2 linked regions of the Pelodiscus sinensis genome follow. The protein of the gene in region 2 purifies or fractionates together with the protein of the main gene of each other region. This does not show direct contact. Links are inferred from orthologs where the notes say so. Each region holds a gene or a part of one and is shown on either strand. Other genes may lie near its edges. The genes, in order: MPHOSPH6 and C1D.

Evidence for each region.
Region 1: the proteins of C1D (region 2) and MPHOSPH6 purify together in Homo sapiens (co-immunoprecipitation; 3 studies listed by BioGRID and IntAct, counting the BioPlex papers as one, with this or other methods). This does not show direct contact. The link is inferred for Pelodiscus sinensis from reciprocal best matches to the Homo sapiens genes C1D and MPHOSPH6.

What each region holds. Positions count from the first base shown.
Region 1 is NC_134722.1:10,611,567-10,619,071, forward strand, and holds the start of MPHOSPH6 (M-phase phosphoprotein 6), read left to right. Parts: upstream 1-4,265; 5' UTR 4,266-4,401; coding exon 4,402-4,452; intron 4,453-7,505. UniProt on the Homo sapiens protein: RNA-binding protein that associates with the RNA exosome complex. Involved in the 3'-processing of the 7S pre-RNA to the mature 5.8S rRNA and play a role in recruiting the RNA exosome complex to pre-rRNA; this function may include C1D.
Region 2 is NC_134713.1:181,892,685-181,900,130, reverse strand, and holds the start of C1D (nuclear nucleic acid-binding protein C1D), read right to left. Parts: upstream 3,126-7,446; 5' UTR 2,616-3,125; intron 1-2,615. UniProt on the Homo sapiens protein: Plays a role in the recruitment of the RNA exosome complex to pre-rRNA to mediate the 3'-5' end processing of the 5.8S rRNA; this function may include MPHOSPH6.

The sequences.
Region 1 (7,505 bases), on a different chromosome or scaffold from region 2:
AAGCTGAAACCCACTTGGCACGAACCTAGTTCACAAAGATCACTTAAAAACTATTTCACATTGTTTAAAGAGAAACTACTCTTTAAATAATGTTAATTAAAACTTTAATTTAACTTTGATATTCACTGAAAAAAAGACCCTCTGTCTCCTAGGAAATAACATCTTTGATCTGTCCGTTTAATGTAGAATCTTTGATGATTTGGACTTTTTTTTCTCCTGTGCTGTTTCAGTGAGCTATTCTCTTTTGCATTCGTAGGTTGAAAGCAGAGTTGCAATTTTAGCTGCCAGAATTGGGAAAAGGGTCATTCAGAATAACCCTCCTACCCCACATCACAAGAGCCACTTTTTTGATCTCTTTCATTAAGACTAACCTCATATCATCAGAGGTTGAAGAGCTAGGGCCAGATTCTGCTCTCTTTGACACAAGTATACATTGTGAAGATATTCACTACAATTAATGGAGTGCTTAATCGGTGTAATACACAGCATGATCGTGCCCAAAATACATCCAATTGCTGTCTATCCTCACCGACCAATTAAGGGTATAAATGCTCAGAGATGCAATTTAAAAATATTCTTTGATGCTTTTTATCTGTCTACATAGATTGAGGTACCTTTTTTACAAATTGCTGCCTCTCTAAATAGACAGAACCATACTGTATTGACTTCAGAACAGAGCACTTTGGACCTGAATGTATTTGGGACAGATCTTTTTTTGGTGTAAATCATTATACAACTACTTACACCAGTTGAGGCTCAGTTGGGCAAAAACAGTGGACAGTGGGTATAGAGATGCACTTACACAGCAGGAGCTCTGGAATGGCACAACTCCTGTAGAGCTCCCAGCTGAGCTGGCCTAGAAACTTCCCCATCCCACAAGGGGTGCAAGCAAGGAACAATTCTTGTGCTTCAGAGACTGCAAAGCCTCACGTTCTAGTTGTCCATGTATGGGAATGGTTACCCATGTATTTAAGGTGGGAAAATTGCCTCATCTTCCCCACCATTGCCATGGGACCACACACAACTAGTAAAAGGGTTTAGAGGACAATCTTGTGGTGTAAATTATAGTACATTTGGCTCCATGATGTTCAATGAAGTCACAGGCATCAGCACCAGAGGTGAAAGTAAGTAGGTGTGCCTAGGTTCACAGCTTCAGCAAGAGCTGGCTGAACTGCAGCAAAAGCCAGCAGGGAGCTATTTAAAGAGCAGGGACACAGGCTGCAACAGGACAACACCTGTAATTAATTTTAAGTTACTTTCACTGCTGATCAGCACACTGACATGTGCATCAACTGAATATAGAAAGGATGCAATCAAAAGAGCCACCAGAAGAAAAAAAAGAGCTCACATTCTGACAAAGTTTTGTTGCTGGCCAATAATGATCAAACTAGGGTCTCAAACACCCAGCAGTGCAAGGTACCTAAGACAAGTAGGGCAATTTCCTCCACTATCTTAATTGATCTCAAATGTATGTATCATGGTGGGTTGGACTGTATGTTATTCCTCCCCTGGAATTAAGAACTGAGAACAGGGAAGGAATGGGGAGTGCTTAAGCAAATTCACTCAGGTCATAACACCTCCAGAGGAGTAACACTACTGGAGAGGCACAGGTATACCAGTTCAAACTAGATTTCCCAAAGACTAAGTGACAAAGAAAGAAGTTTAGATAAATAGCCTCAGTTTAAACTGATAAATGGCCTTTTTTCTGATCCAGCAAATGGACAGGACCTTCTGCCTATGGGAGGCTCCGGTCATTCCTGGGAAGGGTTGGAAGGACTTTGACCTACTGAAACCCCATAAGACTCATAGGTGACCTCTAGCAAGCTTTTGCATCCATATTAGGAACTCTTGCCGTTTTCATAAGATTTCTCTGTTATGCTTTCACCTTAAGAATAAAGGCAATTACACTGTGTGTAGCTTTTAAAGAAAAAGCAAAGCACAATGGCTTGGTTAAGCAGTCTGTCTTACTGGGAATGGTGAAGACCAGGAAAAAGCCAGGTCAGCAAGGAGAGAGATGCAGGTCTCTACTTAACAGAAACGATGGTTGAAGAGTTAGCACCCTGGAATGGGTCTCTTAAGGGACCATAGAGGGGAAATACAGGCATAGTTTGCGGGGAAGAAAAATTAAAATGTTGTCTGAAAAGATTTGCTTCTTCAGCCAGGCACGCTAAGGCTTGTGAGTCCATTTGTAATCCTAATAGAGTACACTAAGCATATGCAGAGAGAAAAGGATAACTATTAAGGGGAAATATTGACCTCTGGAATTTGTGTGGCTCTGAAGGGATCTAACAATTATTAAATCTGAATAGAACCCCAAGTATGGGGAGATTTGAATCCAGTTCTGGGCAGAAATCTCAAGTTTAAAAAAAAAGCAGAAATATTGCTCCAATCTCCTTCTGTCAAATGGGGATTCTTATTTTGGAAAATATAATCTGAAAATACCGAGAAGGTGCTAAAACTGTGCTTTGAAAAGAAAATAAACTACATAAGCAAATGTTTGCTGGTAGGGAGGGTGCTTGGGGTGGGAGAGTAGGTAGGAATAAAAAGGAACTGGGAGATGGGGAATGGGTAAAGGAGGAAGACTAAGGCATGTAGAGGGGCAAAAGTGGAAGAATAGGAAAGGAGAGAGTGGTTGACAGGAGGACTGGGGAAGAATGGGGCAGGGCCCTTGTATCATGAATGATCTATGGTCCCCTACATGGGCAAGACCCACCCTCCCACCGCTGAAGGCTTGGAATGAGGGACGTGCCCATCTTTTGTATGTGACCTCCACCAGTCCCGACCCTTGTGAGCCAGGCTGGGGTGCTGGCTATCTATGGGGTCTGACCCCCCCCCTTCCTGCCCCCATGTATGTGCCAGGCTCGGGGGAAGGGCTGCCCATCCATGACGTGTGACCCCCCCATGTATGTGCCAGGCTCGGGTAGGGGGCTGCCCATCCATGACGTGTGACCCCCCCCCATGTATGTGCCAGGCTCGGGTAGGGGGCTGCCCATCCATGACGTGTGACCCCCCCATGTATGTGCCAGGCTCGGGTAGGGGGCTGCCCATCCATGACGTGTGACCCCCCCATGTATGTGCCAGGCTCGGGTAGGGGGCTGCCCATCCATGACATGTGACCCCCCCCATGTATGTGCCAGGCTCGGGTAGGGGGCTGCCCATCCATGACGTGTGACCCCCCCCCCCCATGTATGTGCCAGGCTCGGGTAGGGGGCTGCCCATCCATGACGTGTGACCCCCCCCCATGTATGTGCCAGGCTCGGGTAGGGGGCTGCCCATCCATGACGTGTCCCCCCCCATGTATGTGCCAGGCTCGGGTAGGGGGCTGCCCATCCATGACGTGTCCCCCCCCATGTATGTGCCAGGCTCGGGTAGGGGACTGCCCATCCATGACGTGTGACCCCCCCCCATGTATGTGCCAGGCTCGGGTAGGGGACTGCCCATCCATGACGTGTGACCCCCCCCCATGTATGTGCCAGGCTCGGGTAGGGGGCTGCCCATCCATGACGTGTGACCCCCCCCCCCATGTATGTGCCAGGCTCGGGTAGGGGACTGCCCATCCATGACGTGTGACCCCCCCCCATGTATGTGCCAGGCTCGGGTAGGGGGCTGCCCATCCATGACGTGTGACCCCCCCCCCCATGTATGTGCCAGGCTCGGGTAGGGGGCTGCCCATCCATGACGTGTGACCCCCCCATGTATGTGCCAGGCTCGGGTAGGGGGCTGCCCATCCATGACGTGTGACCCCCCCATGTATGTGCCAGGCTCGGGTAGGGGACTGCCCATCCATGACGTGTGACCCCCCCCCCATGTATGTGCCAGGCTCGGGTAGGGGACTGCCCATCCATGACGTGTGACCCCCCCCCCATGTATGTGCCAGGCTCGGGTAGGGGACTGCCCATCCATGACGTGTGACCCCCCCCCCCCATGTATGTGCCAGGCTCGGGTAGGGGACTGCCCATCCATGACGTGTGACCCCCCCATGTATGTGCCAGGCTCGGGTAGGGGGCTGCCCATCCATGACGTGTGACCCCCCCATGTATGTGCCAGGCTCGGGTAGGGGGCTGCCCATCCATGACGTGTGACCCCCCCATGTATGTGCCAGGCTCGGGTAGGGGACTGCCCATCCATGACGTGTGACCCCCCCATGTATGTGCCAGGCTCGGGTAGGGGGCTGCACGGGCTGCGACCCCCCCCCCCCCCCAGCAGAGCCGCCTCCGCAGCGCGGCCCCGCCCCGCACAAGGCCCCGCCCCCGTGCGCGGCAGAGGCCCCGGGCGGAAACCCGGCCCCGCCCCGCCGCTCCAGCTCCGGCGGCGCGGCCTGTGCGCGTGGCCCGGCTGCGGGCGGCTCGTGCGGCAGCAGAGGGGCGGGGATCGCTCGCGGCCTCCAGGCCCGGCCCCGCGATGGCCGCCGAGGCGAAGACCAGGCTGTCCAAGAACCTGCTGCGCATGAAGGCGAGAGCGGGGGCGCGTGCGGGGCGGGCTGCGCCCGGTGGAGGGATTGAGGGGCGGGGCGGGGAGTGGGGGCTAAGCCGGCCCCCAGGGAGATTGGGGGAGCCGGCCCTGGCAGCAGAGCGGGGGGGGAGGGGTTAGGGAATGAGGGGTGGGGTGGGGCGGGGTGGGGCCCCCGAGAGGATTGTGGGGTTGTAAGGCAAAGACCTGGCCCGTGCCAAGGGGGTGAGGAGGGAGGGCCGGGGGAGTGGAGCCCGTGGGGAGAGGTACCGATGTCAGCGTGACTACACGGCTAACCGATAAGCCGGGGTTTGTGTGTTACTCTTAGCAACTACACACACACACACACACTCTGCCTGGGTTTGTGTGTTACTCTTAGCAACTACACACACACACTGCCTGGGTTTGTGTGTTACTCTTAGCAACTACACACACACACAAACACACACACTGCCTGGGTTTGTGTGTTACTCTTAGCAACTACACACACACACAAACACACACACACTCTGCCTGGGTTTGTGTGTTACTCTTAGCAACTACACACACACACACACACTCTGCCTGGGTTTGTGTGTTACTCTTAGCAACTACACACACACACAAACACACACACTGCCTGGGTTTGTGTGTTACTCTTAGCAACTACACACACACACACACACACACACTCTGCCTGGGTTTGTGTGTTACTCTTAGCAACTACACACACACACACACACACTCTGCCTGGGTTTATGTGTTACTCTTAGCAACTACACACACACACACTCTGCCTGGGTTTATGTGTTACTCTTAGCAACTACACACACACACACACACACACTGCCTGGGTTTATGTGTTACTCTTAGCAACAACACACACACACTCTGCCTGGGTTTATGTGTTACTCTTAGCAACTACACACACACACACACTCTGCCTGGGTTTGTGTGTTACTCTTAGCAACAACACACACACCCTGCCTCTATATCACAGGGGCGAGTAGGAGCTGGTGCCGTGGCGAACCAGCACGGGAGCTGCCTGCTCCTCCTCTCCCACCGCCAGCGTTGCTGCCTCTGATAGAAAGGCAGATACGAGACGTGGGGAGGGGGGGGAAGGTGGGAGACAGTACACGCAAGAGGCCGGCTTTCAAGCCAGATCCCAGTGCATATGGGCTCATGCAAGCCGCTACCCCTTTCCCTTCACACACACACTGCTGCCTCTCTATCAGAGGCAGCAGAGCAGAACATGGCATCTGGAGCAGACAGGCAGGAGCTGATACATGTGCGGAACTGGCTTTTAAGCCAGCTTTCCTCACGTACCAGCTCTGTGGAGCCACCTGCCTCCTCACCCCCATACTGTTGCCTCTTATCTGAGGTGGCAGCGAGAGAGGACCAGGGGAGGTTGCTGCGGAGCAATCTCTGTCCCCAGTAGGCCCAGGCTGATAGCGGACAGAGGCTGCTCTGTGACATGTCGGTGCAGCCTCTGTCTGTGGGGGAAGCTCAGGCCCCCCATGGACAGAGGTTGCTGCTATCAGAGCACACTGGCTGTGGGCCCCATCCCTGGGGACTATCGAATACTTAAGTAATCAATATTTTGTGGAGTTACACAACTATTCAGTTAATTGCTATCTAACATCTCTAGAAAAGCTCCAGGAGGCTTCTGCACGTGGGACCAGACATTTAGGGGTAGGGGAACAAAGGGAAAGATTGCCCACCAGCATTTGAGGAGGCCTCAGACAATCGCAGGCCCAGAAACAAAATTTTTTTTAATTACCCCTCAAGTGGACACCTTAATCTCCATATCATCAAAACTACTGCTCCCCCATTGTAACAGTGTGGCCACACACACATTTTCCAGGCCACTGCTCCCCACTGGGAGGATTGTGGAGGCACAGAAAGGAGACCATTCCCGAGGTGGGGAAGATGAGAAAGAATGCCTTTTCAAGCTAGTGGGGAAGCTGAAGTATATAGAGCGCTACAAAGAGGAGAGGGCAGGGAGCCGGATATTGACATAGGGGGACTGGTATAGAGGCTGAGGGTAAGGAGGTGGGAAGCTGTGTGTCTGCCTAGGCATTTGTACCTTTTGCTGCTTACTGTTGTACTTGGAAGTATGGGCGGAAGAAATGAAAAGACTAAATTAGGCTATTCAGTATGGGCTGATGAGAAGCTGAAGACCTCTGGGGGCATGAAAGGACATGGGGAAGGTGTTTTGAATGGCAGGGAAGGGACCTAAGCACAGCTAGAGCGAAGACAATAAGCTGGTTTTTGCAGTGTAAACTGGGAAGAGATAATGGCATTATAATGTGTACCCCCTTCTCTGCTATGGGCTCTTCCACACCAGGCCAGCCTGCTGGGACATGGTTTCAGTCAAGGTGCTGTGTGCTGTTTCTAGGATCAGGACCCATGTCCTGAGCTGCCAGTGCAAAGAGACACGTCATCTTAGGAGGCATAGGCATAACCAGGGGTGGATATAGGGCAGGGTGAACGGGGCGGCCGCCCCGGGCCCCGCGCTTAAAAAAGCCCCGAGCATGCGCCGTGGCAAAGGGGGGCCCCGCGGAGTTATGCTGCCCGGGGCCCTGCAAAACAGTCATCTGCCCCTGGGCATAACTGTACTAAACTGGTGTACAAAATAAGCCTTGGGGTGCTTTGCTCATCTGTTGCAATAAAAACGTGTAAATATGGTATAAACCAAAAATGTATGGTAAAGATAGTAAATACATAGTCAAATAACATCATAAGGGGCATTGGGCCCTCTCTTGTATATGATTCATGCTTCAATCTGGAGTCCTGATGTAAGTGAAAATTTGCCTGATTTTGGGATAGGGTCTTGAACAGTAAATGAGACCCTGACTCAGCAAATTAATGGGTGAGCCACACTTCATGGGTAGAAAATACTTGGCCAGGAAAGTGCATGTGGAAACGTAGGGTTAACCAAAACAATCTAATATTATTTTAAACACAACTGTCCTTTTCTGCACCAAAGGCAAATCTGTGTATTAATTGGGTTAGAAAGCATGTTTAGTACCATGTTGCCTTTTCCCAAGATAAACAAGGCCACGCTTTTAAGTTTG
Region 2 (7,446 bases):
TCTGTTGCTGACATCCCTGATTCAGCAGCTGCTGAAACTGACCAGCAGCGGCTGAACCAGGGACTCCTGGGGCAGAGCTGGACTATCGGAAGGGGGGGCTATGAAGGGGTCTGGGGTAGCATCCCCCCACCCCACCCCAGACCCCTCATAGCCCCCCCTTCTGATAGTCCAGCATATCTGATAATCCGGCACCCTCTGGGTCCTAAAGGTGCCGGATTATCAGAAGTTTACTGTATAACAATAATCTCAATAGAATACAAGGTACCCCCCCCCAAAAAAAAAATCTAACAGTGACTAAAGACAGCCACTTCTGGGATAGAAGAAAGTTTGTATTCTACACATGGTACCCAATACAGTAAAAAGGAGCAGCGATATTTTGGCTAAGTACATGGAGGCAAAATTATTCATGAAACATGTGACAAATGCTTTAATGGCAACACACAATACACAAGACACTGGCTTTTAAATCTCAGCTAAAAAGGTTGTCCTCCAGTAACTAACCCAATATGCTAATTTGAAAAAACCTTCCCATTCTCCAAATAATCACAAAATTGAAGGACAGCTAGTCTGGCAAGAAAACAAGGCTGGAAAAATCAATTCTTTGAAATAAAAAAATCTGATGTTTTATTTAAAGTGGTTTTTAATGTAAATTAAATATTTTTCTTTTAAAAAATTAACCTATTTAAATTAGATTTGAAATTATGTCAATCATATCGCCTAAACTTATTACAATCTATTGAAGTAATTTAAATTAAACAAAAATATTCAAAGATATTTGGTGCCAAAAGTTTTAAAGAATGTCAACCCACTGAACTAGTGGAAGTCACTGGCTAAGTGCATGGAACCAGAGCCTGCTGAAGTGCTAAGTCATCTTTTGAAAGCAGTAGTCTCTCCTGCAGGTTCTTCCTTCAATTCAGTTTATTCAACTAGTTCATTTTAATGACAAGTTAATTCAAAATTGAAAAAACCAGTGAGATTTGAAAAAAGCAGGAACAATTGTTTTCCTTTTCCAAACCATAAATAAAAATGAGGTGAGAGAGGTGTGAGGATACAATTTACTAGTTCTAAAATCTTGAAGCATCTGGTAACCAGAAACAATTATTTTGTTTCCCTAACTACTTTGTTTCATATATCAGTTAGTTTTAAATGCAAGCATGTTTTAATAAACTTATTTTCTTTTTCCCTCAGGTATCCAGCACATTTAAGGTTGTTTTTAGGGATGTCAACCTGAAGACAACTACACAATTAACTAATAAGCCGGATTTAATCCATTAATCCTGTCAACTACATGCATTACCCACCTCTGCTGCCTCTGTATCAGCACTGGCTCCACCTGCCACAAGCCACAAGCACTGGCTCCACCTGCCCCCCCTCTCCCAGACTGCTACCTCTTTTAGACTGGCTCTCTTCGCAGAGTGGCTCTCACTTGCCACCCCACGCTACTGCTTCTTATAAAGAGGAATAAAGAGCAGGGTGGCTGGGGACTCCCCAGACATGGCTCTTAATCAGGGCTGGGCAAAACACGGCCCGCAGGCTGCATCTGGCCTGCCAAGCCACCGGATCCAGACCACAGAGGCAGTGGGGAGCCCCAGGCAGGCTCCCCTACTTGCCCTGCAGCCCCACACACAGCTCAGAAATGCAGCTGCGGGGCACTTTCTCTGTTAAGTCTAGAGGGGAAAAGGGAAGATTCAGACGCTGCTCCTGCCCCCAACACAATCTCATTGTCAAGTTTCTGCACAGACACTGGCCAATGGGAGCTGCCTATTTGAATAACAGGCAACCACAAAGCACAACCCTCCTGCTCACTCAATCAAGCACATGGTGGAGCAGGCAAACATTTTAAGCTCTGCAAGCCTTTAGCTCTGCAGGCAGGCTGGTAAGACTTCTGGTGAGAACCTGCCTCTAGCACCGCAGTCCCTTCCTTCCCCAACTCTCTGCCCCACACTCTTGCCCCTCTACTCCACATTCACCCATACCCCCTCCCAGATCTGGCACCTCATCTCCTGCTGGAGAACACAATCCCCTCCTATCCTAGGTCACATCCCAAAAGCCTGCACCCAGTTCCCTGACCCAGTTCACAACCACCTTCTTCATCCAAACGCCCTCTCAGGTGCCATTCTCCTGCTGTACCCCAATCCTTTATCCCAGCCTCCCTTCTGCTCCTTACCTCCAGCCCAGACCCCACATCTCCTCCATTAATACCATGGAAGAGTATGGCCCTCGACCCCTTTCCAAAATCTTGGGAGTGTCTCCCCCACCCCCCCACTCTAAATATATTTAAGAGGCAGAGCTGCAGCGAGGCCAGGAACTAACCCCACTACAACTCCCCTGCTTATCAACCAGTTAATTAGTTGATTAAACTAAATTTAACATCCCTAGAGGCCCCTCAGGATTCCTCACTCTTTTTGCTAAAACAGACCCACACGGCTGCCTCCCTAAAACACTGGGAACTGGTTTCCAAACCGCTACAGCTGGGGCATTCCAGGGCACAATGCAGCCTGGGGATGGGAGCGTGTGATGAGGCGGCGGCCCACGCCTGCCAGTCACGCTTATTGCCACAGTCTAATCACTAGTCTTTAAGGTGCCACCGGACCCCCCCAGGCTAGCGCGGCTACCTGGGAAGCCAGGCCTGAGGCGTTTCCCTACGCGGGACTCGCGGCGCGTTTCCCAGCCGCAGGGGGCTACGAAGCGCTGCTCCGCTGAGGCGAAGCTCTGGCCGATCCCTCAGCCCAGCGGTGTCTCGCGAACTCCCCGGGCGCCAAACGACTCTGGGACTTGCCGCGCGCGACGGGAGCCAGGGCGCTGGACTCGGGGATGCGGCCGGAAGAGCTGCCCTGAGCTGGGCGCAGAACGATGACGCGTGAAAAAGGCGCCGGTAGAACTGCGCAACCTGTCCGCGGGGAGCGGCGCGACGCCAGCCAGAGTGACTGTGCGAGAAGCCAATAGAAGCTCGGCGCTGGCGTCGTGGCCAATCAGGGAAAGGAAAACGTGGGAAGGCGGGGCTTCTGGAGCTAGAGCCAATCCGAGGAGGAAGGTCTCCTTGCGGGAAGGTGTCAGAGTGACGCGGGACAATCCGGCAAAGCTCCTTACGAGGGCAAAAGGGCGGGGCCTTGCGGGTGGGGGTTAGGCGCCCGAGAGCCGCGGGGGGAGCGCGGTAAGAGCGGGCCTTGGGCAGGTGGCCAATCACACTCGGCGAGGGCGGGGTTCGGTGCCGTTCCGGAGGGAGGGGGGAGCGGGATCCAGTAGCCCCGCAGTCTGGAGGGGCTGAGGCGACGCGCGTGCTGGCCGGATGGGGGGGGGGGGGGAGCTCAGAAAGCGGCTTCCTTTACCCTTTCCGGGGGGAGGGGCAGCACTTCCGGTTGGCACCCCGCGGCTCACAGAGAGGCTCCTACGTAGCTGCCCTCCTGGCCCCGCCCCTTCCCGGTCGCTCCGCCTCCCCTCGCTCGCTCCCGAGGTGTCCCCAGGGGCTCGGGGTGAGGCTGGGCAGCGCCTGCAAGCTCAGGTCGCGCGCCACGTGGGCCCTGGCCCCGCCTTGGGGAGATTTGAGAGCCCGCAGGCCGGCTAGGCCAGTGTGTCTCAGCCCTGTTTGTACAACTACCCCTTTCCCCAAGACCATACAGATCTAGGGTACCCCACTACCTACAGGTTTCAGACACACCTTTTTTTTTCTACCCTTGCAACACATTTGTTTAAACAACTTAATGGTGGGAGGGGAATTTTTTGGTGTAAAAAGTACAAAAATAATAAAGTGCAGTACAACTTAAAACAGAGATTCAGTTTTCTCCACATTTCAGTTGTGTTGACGCCCCCTTCCCCCCCCCCCCAGACTTTTCTAAAGTACCCCTAAGGGTACTCGTACCACTGGTTGAGAAACACTGGGGCTATGTCTACACTGGCATGATCTTGTGCCAGAGATATGCAAATGAGGCTAAGCGTGGAATATCACCGAGCCTCATTTACATACCGAATGAGCCGCCATTTTGCGGAAGAGGCTCTTGCGCTAGAAGGAGCAGTCTACACAGCCCCTTCTTGCGCAAGAAAAACCCTCTTGCGCAATGCTGCGACGCTGATTATTTTCAGGAATAACGGCATTGCGCAAGAGGCTTTTTCTTGCTCAAAAAGGGGCAGTGTAGACCGCTCCGTCTAGCACAAGAGCCTCTTCCACAAAAATGGCAGCTCATTAGGTATGCAAATAAGGCTCGGTGATATTCCACGCTTAGCCTTATTTGCATATCTCTGGCACAAGATCGCGCTTGTGTAGACGTAGCCTGGGTGGTGCACAACCTTTTTTCAACCATGACCCCCATTTACTTGTGTCATGACCCCTTTGATAATTTGAGCAGCGTGGTACTTAGATCTGGCTGGCTGAGGACTGGGCCCAGCCATTGGTGGCCCCCCAGGAAGACATCTACAACCCCCTTGGGGGTTGCAACCCACGGATTGCACACGACTGGGTTAGAACCGTGCACGACACAGAGACCTCGGCCATAGGGATGCACATGCTGGCTGCCAGGATAAGTGGGGGGCAAGAAGGTGCTCTAATCACACTGTGCTGATGGTGGGGTACCCCGGGGCAATTTAAATTTCTCTGGGGTGGCAGATGAGGCTCCGGGGGCAGAGGGAATATGCAGGGGCAGCAGCACCCAGAGACTCCTGCCTCCCCAGGAGTCATTGCCAGTGGAGGGTGCCCCAGGTAAGTGTAGCATCCCCCACATCTCCTTGTGCATACCATTCCCACCAGAGTCTGCATCCTCTCCCCCCACCTCTATGCTCCTGTCTTGTCCCCAAAGGGCCTGTCCTTCTCCAGCTCTCAAATTCCCTCCCCAAACCAGCACCCAGGATTTCCACCCTAGCACAGGCTGCTCTGGCGCCTGCAATTCAGTGAATGTGAGGTCTTGGCAGTGGTGCTTTACTTTGGAATAAGTGACATAATTGTATTTGGCCACAACAGAGGTCCACAATGCCTACTGACATTTTCTACCATTCATTGTACATCCCTCTACCAGAGTCATGACAAACAATATCACCTGTATGTTCTGCATCAACAAGAAAGGCAGAGTATGATCCTACTCTCTATGCTTGGAAGCAGTGAAATTGTGGAATTGGTGTATCCATCTTAGTCACATACCAGACACCAGAACACCATTGCAAATTCAATGAGCAAGAGATTTAACTATAATTACTAGTAGAAGCTAGATATATGAGACCTCCAACACATCTTCAGTCACCAGAGGTTCCCCACCATAAACCTCATTGCCACATTGAACAACCCCTGCTATCCTTGATTTTGCTCAAGAGTGGACCTAGGACACAGATCCCTGAAAGACACATTTCACCTTGCATGGGAAAGGCTCTATGCCTTTCCTCTCTTTCCCCTTCTATTCAGACTGAGCCTGACATAGCCATGATAAATCAGGTATACTTACCCTATTTGCATGACAGTATGAACCTTGATCACTCTGCACAGACTCCCTGGCTCCTTTCACAGCATCTCAATCCACAACTACACTACCTGAAGGCATGGCTCCTCCCTGGTTCTGGGATTCAGAGAGAACCTGTTTAGAAGCAGTCAAAGAAATAGTCTTGAATAGCAGCGACAGAACAAGATGCACTTATGTCCACAAGTGGACTAGATTCCACTCCTAGTGCACCTCCTATCAGGGAGAAGCAATGAGTTCCCCATTACTATTAATTCTGAACTATATTTTACATCTTAAAAGATTGGGGGTATACACCAGGTCCATTTGGGTGCACGTGGCATCCATTACAACCTTTCATCCCGAGATATATGGATGCTCTGTGTTCATCCACCCACTGACAAAAAGATTCCTTAAAGGTATCCAAAATCTTTACCTCATGTACAGAATCTGACCCCAGCCTGGGACCCTGGCTTCATGTGATATCTTACTAGACCATCTTTCAAATCAATGGTAACATATTCCTATGTTCATTTAGTCACAAAAACTGCATTTCTTGTCAGTATCACTTCTGCCCCGAGGATTGGTGAAACAAGAGCAGTCATGGCATACCCCCTTTCTGTGATTTTCCATAAAGACAAGGATTCATTATGCCCCATCTCAATTTTTACCCAAAATACCATCTTCTTTCCATCTAAATCAACCTATCTGCCTTCTCTGCCTCTTTCCAAGCCACAGAGCAACTAGCAGGAGGCAGCATTGCACACTATGGACATCTGATAAGCATTAGCTTTCTCTCTAGGCAGAACTAAACCTTTCAGATGATGACCATACTTATTCCTATGAATGGCTGAAAGAAACAACCCCATTTCTAAGTAAGACCTTTCTAAGTGGATCTTACAATGTATACACTTGTCCTACCACCTACACAATGGACAACCACTTCCTGGAACTTGAGTATCTTCCACCTACTCTCTATCCACCTCAATTGCCTTTCCTAACAAGGTCCTAATTGCTGACATTTGCACAGCAGGCACTTGGGTTTTCATGGATGCTTTTAGCCATCACTCACCATTACTCATGATGCAGTATCAGATACTCTGCTAGGGCTGACCTTACAATCATTCACAGTAAAAGCCACTTCAAAGCCCCAATCTTACAATGAGGACCACTGCTTTATAGCCACCTGCAGTGGAACACCTATAGGAAAACCATTCGAAGAAGAGAAGGTTACTCATAGGCTATGTCTAGACTGGCAAGTTTTTCCGCGAAATCAGCTGCTTTTGTGGAAAAACTTGCCAGCTGTCTACACTGGCCGCTTGAATTTCCGGAAGAACACTGACTTCCTACTGTAAGAAAAAAGTGCTTCTTGCAGAAATACTAAGCTGCTCCGTTCAGGCAAAAGCCCTCTTGCGCAAATCATTTGCGCAAGAGGACCAGTGTAAACAGCGCAGTACTGTTTTGCGCAAAAAAGCCCCGATGGCTAAAATGGCGACCGGGGCTTTTTTTGCGCAAAAGCGCGTCTAGATTGGCATGGATGCTTTTCCGCAAAAAGTGCTTTTGCGGAAAAGCGTCTATACCAATCTAGATGCTCTTTTCCACAAATGCTTTTAACGGAAAACTTTTCCATTAAAAGCATTTGCGGAAAATCATGCCAGTGTAGATGTAGCCATAATGTTCAGTAACTCAGGTTTTTTGAGATGTGTGTTCCTGTGGGTGCTCCGCAGCCACTACCACCCTTCTGCTTTGGAGCTGAAAAATAAGCTCTGTGGTAGAGAAGAAGCTGCACAGCTTTATATATACAGATGGTGCATACAGCACAAGACTGGGAGGTGTGTATGCACAATCTAACTGTCACTGATGAAGAGCTCCAATCCCAGGTACAGGGGGCATGATCACACCTACAGTGCAACACTCAAAGAATGTCACATGTCAAAGAACCCCGGTTACTGCACAGGATGAGTAACCTCTCTTTTTTAGTTCAAAAGAGTTGAATGAATTTCCGAGCTTTTCATTGAAAATTCTCAGC